Linked DNA regions of Saccharomyces cerevisiae S288C. The gene in region 1 interacts genetically with each later gene. Each region holds a gene or a part of one and is shown in the gene's direction. Other genes may lie near its edges.

Evidence for each region. Genes that interact genetically often act in the same process or in processes that back each other up.
Region 2: of SED1 (region 1) and SCW4, changing one enhances a phenotype caused by changing the other (phenotypic enhancement), as found in Saccharomyces cerevisiae (one study listed by BioGRID).
Region 3: of SED1 (region 1) and SCW11, changing one enhances a phenotype caused by changing the other (phenotypic enhancement), as found in Saccharomyces cerevisiae (one study listed by BioGRID).

The regions. Positions count from the first base shown.
Region 1 is NC_001136.10:597,520-602,309, forward strand, and holds SED1 (Sed1p), read left to right. Parts: upstream 1-3,273; coding exon 3,274-4,290; downstream 4,291-4,790. Other genes in the region: phosphoprotein phosphatase PP4 catalytic subunit PPH3, read left to right, coding at 1-563; putative DNA-dependent ATPase RAD55, read left to right, coding at 949-2,169; SHU2 (Shu2p), read right to left, coding at 4,679-4,790. UniProt on the Saccharomyces cerevisiae protein: Component of the cell wall. Major cell wall protein in stationary phase cells. Required to stabilize the cell wall in the absence of multiple GPI-anchored mannoproteins.
Region 2 is NC_001139.9:1,047,677-1,052,874, reverse strand, and holds SCW4 (putative family 17 glucosidase), read left to right. Parts: upstream 1-2,916; coding exon 2,917-4,077; downstream 4,078-5,198. Other genes in the region: ATP-binding cassette transporter YOR1, read right to left, coding at 1-51; PXR1 (telomerase inhibitor), read left to right, coding at 1,150-1,965; U2-type spliceosomal complex subunit CWC22, read right to left, coding at 4,411-5,198. UniProt on the Saccharomyces cerevisiae protein: Glucanases possibly play a role in cell expansion during growth, in cell-cell fusion during mating, and in spore release during sporulation.
Region 3 is NC_001139.9:440,160-445,709, reverse strand, and holds SCW11 (putative glucan endo-1,3-beta-D-glucosidase), read left to right. Parts: upstream 1-2,800; coding exon 2,801-4,429; downstream 4,430-5,550. Other genes in the region: CWH41 (mannosyl-oligosaccharide glucosidase), read left to right, coding at 1-2,068; CGR1 (Cgr1p), read right to left, coding at 5,285-5,550.

The DNA.
Region 1 (4,790 bases):
GATTTTACGATGAAGTAGTAAGAAAATATGGTAATAGTAACGTATGGAGGTACTGCTGTGAAGTTTTTGATTATTTATCATTGGGGGCAATAATAAACAATAGCATATTCTGTGTTCATGGTGGATTATCTCCGGATATGACCACGGTTGATGAAATACGAACAATAGACAGGAAACAAGAAGTTCCACATGAAGGTGCTATGTGTGACTTATTATGGAGCGACCCCGAAGACGTTGACACATGGTCATTATCACCAAGAGGTGCTGGATTTCTTTTCGGTAAAAGAGAAGTTGATCAATTCTTAGAGAAAAACAACGTTGAGTTAATTGCTAGAGCTCATCAGTTAGTGATGGAAGGTTACAAAGAAATGTTCGACGGTGGATTAGTGACAGTCTGGTCGGCACCGAATTACTGTTATCGTTGTGGTAATGTAGCAGCTGTATTGAAGATAGACGACGATTTGAATCGTGAATATACAATTTTTGAAGCTGTTCAGGCACAAAATGAAGTCGGAAATGCTATAATTCCAACCAAAAAATCTCAAATGGACTATTTCTTATAAATTTTTAACAGGCACTCTAATTGTCAAGTGCATTTTTCTTTTTTTCTTCATAATGCAATAAAGGAAAAAAAATTGTAATATTACATACTTCTTTTCACATCTTAGCTAATTAACAATATGGCTTTTGAATACTAATATATACCCAGCTACCGTTTCTTCTTTTATTTTTTATTCCTTTTTTTCTTCAGTAGAATATGTTATAGATGCGGAGGTCCCCTAAGTTCTTCACGTGTTCTCTTCTCATCGCGTTTGATATGAAAAATAGAAAAAAATACATAGTAGCATGACTAACTAATAATAAGCTCCGCTATCAAAGATGTCAAGTACATTAAGGAAAGCTTTTAGATAAGGAAAAGAACTTATTAATAATATATAATATGAAAATATGTCGCTTGGTATACCACTTTCCCAATTAATAGTAGAAAGTCCAAAGCCATTAAGTAGCGGCATCACAGGATTAGATGAGATATTAAACCTGGGATTCCAGGCAAGGTCGATCTACGAAATATTTGGGCCTCCGGGCATTGGCAAGACTAATTTTGGCATTCAATTGGTGTGTAATTCGTTAGAAGGCATACAACAATCGGAAATAAACGACGATAAAATTCTATGGATAGAAACATTTCAAGAAATGCCCATAAACATACTAAGAGAACGCTTTCAAAAATTTAAAATCGTGGAAGAAAATGTGAAGCGGGTCCGAATAACGAAATTTGGACAGCTATTATATTTCTTCCAGAATTTGTTCAAATTATCTCAAAGTGTGCGATATAAACTAGTTATAATTGATGGATTTTCTCAATTAGTCTGCGATCATCTGTGTACACTAAGTAAAAGAGGCGGCGGAATGATAGATAAAACTATACACGAGTTAAAATGTCGACATTTGATATTAATTTTTACGGTAATGACCAAATACACACATTCCACGGGTTCGACAATAATAGTTTTAAATGACTGTATGAACACCGCCTTCCAATCAAACGAATTCGAATCCTTGGAAGAATACTACGAAATTTTAGACGACGGATCTAACTTCTTTGTCAACTCTAACAACGAAAGGCGTAAGAACAATGTACATATATTGAAAAGCGCGCTCGTTGCCAATATCGCTATGGGAAGCAAGGATTCCACTTGGGAAGTATTTCTAAGAGACAGGATCGGCCTTTTTAGGGATTGGAATGAACAAGTGGACGAAACCGTTTTCGTGAAAAGCAAAAGAGTGAAGGCGTCATCCTCGCAGAGTAACGAGGGATGTACTACCATCAAAGAAATGAGAATAAACAAACGAAACTTTGAAAACTTGAGAATAGCTATTGTTTTTAATTTACACGGCGAAGATAGAAAAAGAGAAGGACGAAATTTAAAGCGGTCAAGAAGCAGCGACGATCGTAACTATATTGTCAAATTTGATTTTGATAAAGCAACAGGTCAACTCCGCGATATAATTGATCTGAAACCTGATACTGCTAATATTGCCTCATTTCCAACATTATCAACAAGCAGCAGCAGTTGCTCACAAGTGTTTAACAATATTGACTCCAATGATAATCCATTACCAAATGCGGAGGGAAAGGAGGAGATAATTTATGATAGTGAAGGTTAATAGTAAAATAAAAAAACCGAAAACCGAAAACAATAAAAAATGGAAAAACGACAACATTCCACCCAACAACTACAAAGAAAAGTTAAGGGTAATTTTACCTATTTAGGATTTTAATCTGTTGGAGTTAAGGTGAATACGTTTTTCCATATTGGGGTATGCAGCTCGAACCTAAAGTGGTATGTACACATCCCCTCAAGCACACCCATTACCCTTATAGGATTAATGTAAGCAACAGCTTACACGGAATTGGAAATACTATTCAACGATCCATGCATCTGCCAGATTCGGACATGCATATTCCCCAATTGGATATAGAAAATTAACGTAAGGCAGTATCTTTTCACAATGTACTTGCAACGCGGCGACTTAAAGTTGAAGTACAACCTGCAGCAGCGGCTTTTTGTACGGTACGCCAAACTGTCAATGGATAATATTGCGTAGACCGAAAAAGGTAATCCTCAACACTACCCGTGGTGGATGACCTAAAGCAGTAATATTGGTTGGAATTATCTCCCAGACGGCACCGTCTCCCCGAGAAAGCTTAGCCCCGAGGTCTACCTTCCATACACCACTGATTGCTCCACGTCATGCGGCCTTCTTTCGAGGACAAAAAGGCATATATCGCTAAAATTAGCCATCAGAACCGTTATTGTTATTATATTTTCATTACGAAAGAGGAGAGGGCCCAGCGCGCCAGAGCACACACGGTCATTGATTACTTTATTTGGCTAAAGATCCATCCCTTCTCGATGTCATCTCTTTCCATTCTTGTGTATTTTTGATTGAAAATGATTTTTTGTCCACTAATTTCTAAAAATAAGACAAAAAGCCTTTAAGCAGTTTTTCATCCATTTTACTACGGTAAAATGAATTAGTACGGTATGGCTCCCAGTCGCATTATTTTTAGATTGGCCGTAGGGGCTGGGGTAGAACTAGAGTAAGGAACATTGCTCTGCCCTCTTTTGAACTGTCATATAAATACCTGACCTATTTTATTCTCCATTATCGTATTATCTCACCTCTCTTTTTCTATTCTCTTGTAATTATTGATTTATAGTCGTAACTACAAAGACAAGCAAAATAAAATACGTTCGCTCTATTAAGATGAAATTATCAACTGTCCTATTATCTGCCGGTTTAGCCTCGACTACTTTGGCCCAATTTTCCAACAGTACATCTGCTTCTTCCACCGATGTCACTTCCTCCTCTTCCATCTCCACTTCCTCTGGCTCAGTAACTATCACATCTTCTGAAGCTCCAGAATCCGACAACGGTACCAGCACAGCTGCACCAACTGAAACCTCAACAGAGGCTCCAACCACTGCTATCCCAACTAACGGTACCTCTACTGAAGCTCCAACCACTGCTATCCCAACTAACGGTACCTCTACTGAAGCTCCAACTGATACTACTACTGAAGCTCCAACCACCGCTCTTCCAACTAACGGTACTTCTACTGAAGCTCCAACTGATACTACTACTGAAGCTCCAACCACCGGTCTTCCAACCAACGGTACCACTTCAGCTTTCCCACCAACTACATCTTTGCCACCAAGCAACACTACCACCACTCCTCCTTACAACCCATCTACTGACTACACCACTGACTACACTGTAGTCACTGAATATACTACTTACTGTCCAGAACCAACCACTTTCACCACAAACGGTAAGACTTACACCGTCACTGAACCAACCACATTGACTATCACTGACTGTCCATGCACCATTGAAAAGCCAACAACCACATCAACCACCGAATACACTGTAGTCACTGAGTACACTACTTACTGTCCAGAACCAACCACTTTCACCACAAACGGTAAGACTTACACCGTCACTGAACCAACCACTTTGACTATCACTGACTGTCCATGTACTATTGAAAAGAGCGAAGCCCCTGAGTCTTCTGTCCCAGTTACCGAATCTAAGGGCACTACCACCAAAGAAACAGGTGTTACTACCAAACAAACCACAGCCAACCCAAGTCTAACCGTCTCCACAGTCGTCCCAGTTTCATCCTCTGCTTCTTCTCATTCCGTTGTCATCAACAGTAACGGTGCTAACGTCGTCGTTCCAGGTGCTTTAGGTTTGGCTGGTGTTGCTATGTTATTCTTATAAACGGTGGTGTTTGACACATCCGCCTTCTTAATGCTTTCTTTCAGTATTATGTTATTTTTTTGTTATTCGTTTTTCACTTCTAGGCTTTTTGACAGACTAGCCCCGTTATACCACCATCTTTGTGGGAAAGCCCCTAAATTGCCCTGAGCAGTATCGTTTCATGTCTAGTCTCTTTAAAGATGTTTCTTACGCGTTGCGTGTAAAACATCCTCTCATTCAAGACAGGGTTTTCTAAAAGCAATAGGGGTAGTTTAATAATTCTTATATAATCATCATATACACTATTTTTAGTTCTTAATTCTTTAATACAAACTTATTAATGTGCTCTCCATTGATCTCTTAATCAGGAGGCGATATATACCGGAAGCGGTGTACTTTTCTTCACCTCTTACTCAACTATGTTGATGTGCAAGTTTAACCACTCGTCGATATTATCTATTGCTATAACGAAAACTTTATTCGAGTTCACAGTGAAAAACTTCAGCACATTTATGGAAGAT
Region 2 (5,198 bases), on another chromosome or scaffold:
TTTGTTTTCCAGCTCCGTCTCCGAAACTGCATCCCCCACGGTAATCGTCATATTCGTATATAGCAACGGCTTTACTCTTTTTGAATATAAAAACAGTAATATTAATCTTTTTCCTCGTTCGTGACACTACTCAGAGGGCACCTGTAAGGAGAAAAAGGTATGGAAATGCGTTCTTCCTGTTCTTGTATAGCGCAAAAAAAGATATACACGCGGAGAGCTGTTCTACCTCCGTATTTATACTAACTGGAACAAAAAATATTTCAGTGACACCTTCGCTAGCTACCTCTGACAGATGTGTAATAAATATATATATGTATGGTAATCATTTAAGGGACAGCAGATCTATTTGTAGGAAAAATATTGCCACTTTCTTACCTTGGCTTTTTTCATTTCCACGGGTGTTAAATCATGTCCGTCATATTCCCGGCAAAATTTCCGGCTATTTCCACGGAACCACGCGTTATCTTCATACAATAGCACATGCCAAAAATTACAACAAAAGCACAGAAGCAAAAGAAAAAAAATGTGCCATTTCCGCCTCGCGGTGGGGAGGAAAATAGAAGCGCTTATCGCAAGCATTTAGTAGAGAACCGTGGATAAAAACGCAGCAACTAAAGAAGGCGACTAATAAAAATTGAGTATGCCTCTCCTTAGCGTAAACAGTAACTGCGTGCTATAAGGTGGCACTAAACTTCCTTCTTCCCCTTTCTATCGGATTTGTGCAGCCAGGAGGGATACCAGTGACGGCTATAGCGGGAGAAAGACGGGCCCTCTCACAACCCTTTGCCCCTTGCGGTTAGTCATATAGATTTTGCTTGTGAAGAGAACTGGTCGGTTCAAAGATGCTTTCTTCAAAGTACTATAGCCTTGCCCACTCTCTTTCTCCCTTCTGATCTCTTGTATGCTGATTTTACTTTAATAAGTGAAGGTGATCAATCAGTCAACTAACAAATTAGCCGCCACTGCAAGGATATTTTCTCTGTCGTTGTTGTTTTCCTACAAATATAAACAACCGGGTAACAGTCAAAGAAAAAAAAAAAAAGAAAAGGAAAAAAAAAAAATATGAAAAATTTTGTTCTGAAAGAAGCGATGAGATGAGTACTCAATAGTAACATATAGGCAGCTTACACCATTAAACAAAGAAGCAGAATGGGTTTGGCAGCTACAAGAACCAAACAGCGGTTTGGTTTAGACCCCAGAAATACGGCATGGAGTAACGACACCTCGAGATTCGGGCACCAATTTCTAGAAAAGTTTGGATGGAAACCCGGTATGGGTCTGGGGTTATCCCCCATGAATTCGAACACTTCGCATATCAAAGTGTCAATTAAGGACGACAACGTTGGGCTCGGTGCTAAATTAAAACGTAAAGACAAAAAAGACGAGTTTGATAATGGTGAATGCGCAGGGTTGGATGTCTTCCAGCGAATTCTTGGTAGGCTGAACGGAAAGGAAAGCAAAATATCAGAGGAATTGGACACGCAGAGAAAGCAGAAGATTATTGACGGAAAATGGGGTATCCATTTTGTGAAGGGTGAAGTTTTAGCAAGCACGTGGGATCCAAAGACTCACAAGTTAAGAAATTACTCCAACGCGAAGAAACGAAAGAGGGAAGGAGACGATAGCGAAGATGAAGATGATGACGACAAAGAGGATAAAGACAGTGATAAAAAGAAGCACAAGAAGCACAAAAAGCATAAGAAAGACAAGAAAAAAGACAAGAAGGACAAAAAGGAGCATAAGAAACATAAAAAGGAAGAGAAGAGATTGAAGAAGGAAAAAAGGGCGGAAAAGACCAAAGAAACGAAAAAGACGTCAAAATTAAAATCTAGTGAATCTGCATCCAATATCCCCGATGCGGTAAACACAAGACTATCGGTGCGCTCCAAATGGATAAAACAAAAGAGGGCCGCGTTGATGGACTCCAAGGCACTGAATGAGATCTTTATGATAACAAACGACTAAACATTCCATTGCGTTTCATTGTGTGAGCAGCTGGCCAGTCTGCACACGCAGCAAGATATATAGAGTGGGGAAAAATTCTTCCCCGGTGCCAAAGAAAAAAGCAAATAAAAATGAAAAAAAAAAATGTGTGCCAGTACGACAGCATACCGCAACGAGTTTTTACATACATGATTAAACTAGTAAGTAATATTATAAGTATTTATTGAACTTATTGCGCCACGACTTCTGCCCCTGCAAAACCTTCAGCTTTATTAGGTGGGTTTGATGGAAGATAGTAGAGCAAGTGGAAAGCATAACATCGCTAACGTCTTCCACACCCTCCATAAAGCCGCTGCATGAATGATAAACGGGCTCAATTCGTATCAGTGTAACCAAATCCATCAATTAACGCCCAATCGAGCTCGTTAACTCCATTTTGGGAAAGAATCAAGATGCCTAGCCCGGCCTAATCGAGATGCATCCACAAACGACCCTGCACGGTCATTTCCCAGAGGGTTTTGTAATTTGTAGGCACCGCTTTTCGCGCGACACCCTGCTGCAATAGGATCTTCTCCCTAGAAACACGCGCAACGCACCTCTTTTCCCTTTTCGTTTAGCCTCTCCAAATGAGGAAAATAGGCACATGATTCCTTTTCACGCGCATTTTTTTCAGAAATTTTCTCTTGTGGTGTTGTTTCAAAAACGGCACCGTTGTTTTTGTTTTTTTTTTTCTGTTTTCTCCCATTCCTCGAGGAGAAGATCTCTGTTTTATAAAACTAATAGATATGTATTCTTTATCTTCTGTCATAATTGTTTTCTGTTTAGTAGTTCTTTTAGCCCTTATTCTATTCTTTTAATAGTGTTTACACAAAGGTCCAGCTAGATATCTAACTAAATCCAACTAAGTCATTCTTTTACATCTACAATCGTTTATATACTAGCAAGCCATACCGAAAAGCAAACTAGAAAAATATGCGTCTCTCTAACCTAATTGCTTCTGCCTCTCTTTTATCTGCTGCTACTCTTGCTGCTCCCGCTAACCACGAACACAAGGACAAGCGTGCTGTGGTCACTACCACTGTTCAAAAACAAACCACTATCATTGTTAATGGTGCCGCTTCAACTCCAGTTGCTGCTTTGGAAGAAAATGCTGTTGTCAACTCCGCTCCAGCTGCCGCTACCAGTACAACATCGTCTGCTGCTTCTGTAGCTACCGCTGCTGCTTCCTCTTCTGAGAACAACTCACAAGTTTCTGCTGCCGCATCTCCAGCCTCCAGCTCTGCTGCTACATCTACTCAATCTTCCTCTTCCTCCCAAGCTTCTTCCTCTAGTTCTTCCGGCGAAGACGTCAGCAGCTTTGCCTCTGGTGTCAGAGGTATCACTTATACCCCATACGAGTCCAGCGGTGCTTGTAAATCCGCTTCGGAAGTTGCTTCCGATTTAGCTCAATTGACTGACTTCCCAGTCATTAGATTGTACGGTACCGACTGTAACCAAGTTGAAAATGTTTTCAAGGCTAAGGCTTCGAACCAAAAAGTCTTTTTAGGTATTTACTACGTTGACCAAATCCAAGACGGTGTCAACACCATCAAGTCTGCTGTTGAATCTTACGGTTCTTGGGACGATGTCACCACTGTTTCCATTGGTAACGAATTGGTTAACGGTAACCAAGCTACCCCATCCCAAGTCGGTCAATACATTGACTCTGGTAGATCTGCCTTGAAGGCTGCCGGTTACACTGGTCCAGTTGTTTCTGTTGATACTTTTATTGCTGTGATCAACAACCCTGAATTGTGTGACTACTCCGACTACATGGCTGTTAATGCCCATGCTTACTTTGACAAGAACACAGTTGCCCAAGACTCCGGTAAATGGTTACTAGAACAAATCCAAAGAGTCTGGACTGCTTGTGATGGTAAGAAGAATGTTGTTATCACTGAGTCTGGTTGGCCATCAAAGGGTGAGACTTACGGTGTTGCTGTTCCATCTAAGGAAAATCAAAAGGACGCTGTTTCCGCCATTACCAGCTCCTGTGGTGCTGATACCTTCTTATTCACTGCCTTCAACGACTACTGGAAGGCCGACGGTGCTTACGGTGTTGAAAAATACTGGGGTATTCTATCCAATGAATAAGTCTACTCAATTGTAAAAAAAAACAAAAAAAATCTTGATTTAAAAAACGATACCCAATATTTTTAACTTTAAATTAAGGCTTTGATAATCTTCTTTTTCTCTGTTATATCAAAGGACTGCTTTCTGGTTTGCCTTCGCTAATCTTTTTTTTTTTTTTTCATTTTCCTATTTTAGTTCGTTTATGATCTCATTTGTATTTCTGTATATTTGTCTTAATACGAAATACGAGTTTTTATTTTATATTCTACCTTTCTTTTTTTTTTGGCTAAAAGCGTGTACGGTTCTATGTAAATATGTACGATTACATGTGTAATGTTTGTTTGGCCGGGCTCTTCATCTATGCCGTTGCCTTCTTGCAGGCGGAGTCCTGGATCTGTTACGATGGTTTCTCGATCCTCTTGGTGGAGTTCTGGATCTAGCACGTTTTCTTGTTTCCACTGTGAATGGCGATCTTGATCTACTATTTTCTCTGGTGTCCTTCTGTAAAAATAACCTGGATTCGTGAATTTTTGGCCCTTGGGTTGGTTGTGACTCTCTGGCCTTCTTCCGTAACTTTTCAAGTTCCTCCTCTTCTCTCAATTTTTTTTCTTCTTCCTCTGCATCCTCAACTTCTTGAATAATTGTCAACCGGCTTCTCATGTCCTCTGTGAGCAGGCCCAATCCTATGGCAGTAAAGAAATTTATGGAGTATCTTATATGTTCGGCGTCTCCTTCCAGCGGAAACATTCCGTCAAGCTTGCTGGAGTTTAGCCTTAATTGCAGCTCATCTAATCCGAGCTCATTTACGAGCTCTTGAAATAAAAATTTGATGAAAATTCTTCCTTGAGGACACGATTCTTCCTCAGTTAACTTAATTATCTTAAGACAGTCCATTGGAAGAAATTCATAAGATATTAAGTGTCCCCAAAACTTACCTAAGATTCGCAGTTGGTCAGTTTCATAATCTTCGATATCTTGTGTATAATTCTGCTCAAAAGTTTCATTGTAAGCTGTCTGCCAACTCCTGTGGAACGTTATCATACGTTCGGACAAAATAGAATAAAATTTAGAGAATGTAGATTCCTGCAAACTAGATTTGATGATTATATCTACCACGCTTTTTTTCAAATTGTTCGCAATCT
Region 3 (5,550 bases), on another chromosome or scaffold:
GGATCCCAAGAGACCATCTACAGCATCTGTCGTATTGTACTTTAGTCAAAATGGTGGCGAGATAGATGGAAAATCTTCCTTAGCAATGATAGGTCATGACGGCCCTAATGACATGAAATTCTTCGGATATTCTAAAGAATTAGGCGAGTATCATCTTACAGTAAAGGACAATTTTGGTCACTACTTCAAAAATCCGGAATATGAAACCATGGAAGTAGCACCAGGAAGTGACTGCTCTAAAACAAGTCATTTATCACTTCAAATCCCGGATAAAGAAGTTTGGAAGGCTCGTGATGTTTTCCAATCTCTAGTTAGCGATTCGATACGTGATATACTGGAAAAGGAAGAGACAAAGCAGCGTCCTGCTGATTTAATACCAAGTGTTTTAACTATTAGAAATTTGTACAATTTTAATCCTGGTAATTTTCATTATATACAAAAGACATTTGATTTGACCAAAAAAGATGGGTTCCAATTTGATATCACTTACAATAAACTTGGCACTACTCAAAGTATTTCCACCAGGGAACAAGTTACGGAGTTGATTACTTGGTCACTAAATGAGATAAACGCGCGTTTTGATAAGCAGTTTAGTTTTGGAGAAGGTCCCGACTCAATTGAAAGCGTGGAGGTCAAAAGAAGATTTGCTTTAGAGACGCTATCAAACCTATTAGGAGGAATCGGTTATTTCTATGGGAATCAACTAATTGATCGTGAAACAGAATTTGATGAGAGCCAGTTTACAGAGATCAAACTGCTGAATGCAAAAGAGGAAGGTCCATTTGAACTGTTTACCAGCGTTCCGAGCCGTGGCTTTTTCCCACGTGGATTCTATTGGGATGAAGGTTTCCATCTTCTACAAATTATGGAGTATGATTTTGACCTTGCCTTTGAAATCTTAGCGAGCTGGTTTGAAATGATCGAAGATGATAGTGGTTGGATTGCTAGAGAAATTATACTGGGTAATGAGGCAAGGAGTAAAGTTCCGCAGGAATTTCAGGTGCAAAATCCCAATATTGCTAATCCGCCAACTTTATTGCTAGCATTTAGTGAAATGCTTTCTAGGGCCATTGAAAACATCGGCGATTTCAACAGTGACAGCTACCACCAAGTCATGTTCAATAGTAGGACAGCCAAGTTTATGACGAACAATCTAGAAGCCAATCCTGGCTTGCTAACCGAATATGCCAAGAAAATTTATCCTAAGCTATTGAAGCACTATAATTGGTTCAGAAAATCTCAAACAGGACTTATTGATGAATATGAGGAAATATTGGAAGATGAAGGAATATGGGATAAGATTCATAAGAACGAAGTTTATAGATGGGTTGGGCGTACCTTCACTCATTGTTTGCCAAGCGGTATGGATGACTATCCTAGAGCACAACCACCAGATGTAGCAGAATTGAACGTAGACGCATTAGCATGGGTGGGCGTTATGACAAGATCCATGAAGCAAATTGCTCACGTGTTGAAGTTAACACAGGACGAGCAAAGATATGCACAAATTGAGCAAGAGGTGGTCGAGAATCTGGATTTGTTACACTGGAGTGAAAATGACAATTGCTACTGTGATATTAGCATCGATCCAGAAGACGATGAGATTAGGGAGTTTGTATGTCATGAGGGTTACGTCTCCGTATTGCCCTTTGCATTGAAGCTAATCCCCAAAAACTCACCCAAGCTAGAGAAAGTAGTTGCTTTGATGAGTGACCCAGAAAAAATCTTTTCAGACTACGGGCTGTTATCACTATCGAGACAAGACGACTATTTCGGCAAGGATGAAAACTATTGGAGAGGCCCAATTTGGATGAATATTAATTACTTGTGTCTTGACGCAATGAGATACTACTACCCAGAGGTGATTCTCGACGTGGCTGGTGAGGCTAGCAATGCCAAGAAACTGTACCAAAGTTTAAAGATTAATCTCAGTAACAACATATACAAAGTTTGGGAAGAACAAGGTTATTGTTATGAAAATTACAGTCCGATAGATGGTCATGGTACTGGTGCTGAGCATTTCACAGGCTGGACAGCACTTGTTGTCAACATCCTTGGACGCTTCTGAATCTATGTAGATATTTTCAGTCATATAAACAGATATGTAACCAGATATGTACCAGTATGCAGGATGAAAATTATAAATGTTCCAGCTATTCGAAAAGGGCCTCGCATCTCTTAGTTAGAGCCAGCATTTTCAGCTTTTTTTTTCTCGCGTTTATTTACATTTCGATGCGGCTGTGAGAAAAAGTTAAAAAATCGTGGAAACCAGCAACTGGTAACTAGCAGTCTGGGCCATTGCAGCTAAAAGCCAGACAAATAAACAATCGAAAACACACTCGAAACATGCATTATGAAATGTCACATTTTTTTTTTTCTTTTGGGGATTAATGGTTGCGAAGTGAGGTCTTTTCTATTTACTGCGGTAAGATGAATAAAAGTTAGGGAATGTTATTGTTTACAAGCTGGATACTAGATCTCAAAATGTTAAAGTGTAAGGACTGACAACAAAATATGCTGCACCGAAAACAAATTAAGAATCTGAGGAGGGACTATTTAAGTGGAAAGAAAATTGAAGTTCAATGATCGTGTTTTCCTTCTGCTTATCCAAATACACTGTTATATATTAAGGCAACAGTACTATAATCGTCAGTTACGCAACAAAGACAGTCCACTCTTTTAGAAGAATAAGCCTTTACTGACATACCTCCACTGTAATAAATCTATTCTATTCTCTGTACTGTTTATCGACTTATTATTACGCTACACTCATTGATATAATATCTAATAGAAAACCATCATGATTTCACCCATAAGCTTTCTATCATCGCTGCTATGCTTAACTTATCTAACCTCAGCTTTACCGATTCTTCCTAAGAGAGAAGTTGTAACGAGAGTTCACACAGCAAGCACAACTAATGTTGTGACTGATTTTTACTCCACTACTACCGAAGTTGTTATTGCCCCAACTGTCGAATTCCTAATAAGCGATAGTGTTACCTTTACAACAACCTTAATTCCACAAGGTGTGAACCCAACAGCTGAACCAACTACGACTATCACTAAAGTTCTCTTAAAAAAGGCTGAAATGAGTACATCTTCGCAGCCAACCTCTACTTTGCAGCCAAGCACTATTCCACAATCAACCTCCTCTTTTCAAGCAGAATCTACTTTGCAAGCCGTCTCTACGCAACAAACTGCTATGTCTGTTTCTGCAGGTACTAGTGAGGATGTGCAACAATTAGCTACTACTTCTACCTCTATCTCCTCCTCTCCTTCCCCTACCACTACGTCTACTTCCACACAAAATATCGTGAGTGGTGTCGGTGAAGCCAATGTTGAAGGCAACACTCAAAGTCAGCATCATTCTTACCAAGCAGCTGCGACTTCAACTTTGAATCAACAAACGAGTACCTCAATTGCTTCTCAGGAGTCCACCGAATCAACCAATACACCTACGTCGTCCTCTACGTCGTCCTCTACTTCTTCTTCTACTTCTTCTTCTACTTCTTCCTCTACTTCTTCTTCTACTTCTTCCTCTACTTCGTCCTCTACTTCGTCCTCTACTTCATCCACACAGGAAACAGCCGCTACCACCTCTGAAGGTTCCTCTAGTAGCAGCGCTGCTATAACTTCTTCTCCAAAGGCTATTGCATATTCACCATATAATGATGATGGCTCTTGTAAGTCTGCAGACGCTGTCTCTTCTGACTTAACGTTGATCAAATCTAAAGGTATTTCCAAAATCCGTGTTTATGGCACCGACTGTAATTCCTTTGAAACCGTCCAACCAGCAGCCGTAAAACTAGGTATTAAGATTAACCAAGGTTTGTATATCACCAGTAGCGGCGTTGATTCCATAGATGATTCTGTTACCACATTGATTCAATATGGTCAAACTAACGGTTGGGATGTCTTTGATTTCATTACTGTTGGAAATGAAGCTATCAATAATGGTTGGTGTTCAGTTTCTGATTTGATTAGTAAAATTTCCTCTGTCAAATCCAAATTAAGCGAAGCTGGCTATTCTGGCCAAATTACTACCAGTGAGCCCCCTGTCTCATTTGAAAATAACCCTGATTTGTGCAAAAAATCTGATATTGACTTCGTTGGTATCAACCCACATGCCTACTTTGATACTAGCGCCAGTGCTGAAACTGCCGGTACATTTGTTAAGGGTCAAGTTGAATTAATTCAAGGTGTTTGTGGTACTTCTAATGTTTTCGTCACGGAAACAGGTTACCCATCGTCTGGTATTCAAAATGGAGGCAACATTCCATCCACTGCTAACCAAATTACTGCAGTCCAAAACATCTTGAATGAAATGGACTTGGATGTTACAATCTTATCGACTTACAATGATTACTGGAAGGCTCCCGGTGATTACGGTATCGAACAATCTTTCGGTGTGATTGAATATTTTCCATAAGTTTTCTAAATCGAATAGAGAAACATGCATATAAAAGATCAGAAAACAGTAATTAGATCTTTTCCATTACGACATTAACGATATAGATGTTTTACAAATTTGCGGTTCTAATTTCTAACTACAAATACACCAGGGTATAGGTTAAAGATAAAATAAAGAAGACAGGAAGCAAGAATGTAAGTTTGGCATTGAAATGTGCACGAGTACTTCTTACTCTTCTTATATACGGGATTATTCAGTTCATTTACATATCTACATTATCATTTCACTTTGTATATTATAACATTCAGGTAATTATCAATTTTTAATTTTTAGAATGGTTGTTAAAATTTCATACTTATTCAAGTCAAGGAATAAATTAAAATAAATACTCCTATTATTTGGCCCGATTAGTGTCAGTTCAAACGTTATTTGATTTTATCCTTACGCTTTATGTGGTTTGTACGTGTTGATGATTTTCCTATAAAATATATGCGGATTTAGCTCAGTTGGGAGAGCGCCAGACTGAAGAAAAAACTTCGGTCAAGTTATCTGGAGGTCCTGTGTTCGATCCACAGAATTCGCATAATAAGCCATACGGGCTTCAAAAAATTTTTAGTTTTTTCCAGTTTTTAGTGAATAATAACTGTCTAGGGATGCCCTTATTTTCTCCTTGTCAGGACTTAATAATGAGTCCGCACCTCTTTTTCTTCTTAAAGAGATATTTCTTAAATAAAATTACTATACAATTACTGCTAAGATATTAACCATTGTAGGTTATTGACCTGTGTATCTATGAGCCTTCTATAATGCTTTATACCATTGTGCTTATCCATATGAATTTATTTTTTTTTTTTTTTGAGAAAGAATTTCGATCTAACGTTCTTTTAAAGCCTTGTTCCTTTTCTCTCTTCTTCTCATTCTTTCAACCTTCTTAGCATGCATCTTAGCAGCCAAACGTTCGTATCTTTCATTCTCTTCCTTCTTCTCTCTTCTTTCCTTTAACATGGTTATTTTAGCTTGACGAGCTTCTTCCTTCTCATCCTTCAAAGCCTTCAATCTTTCTTTGAACTGTTTATCTTCGAGTCTTTTTTGTTTTTTCAACTCCCATGATGTTAACTTCTTGTTCTTAACGACTCTGC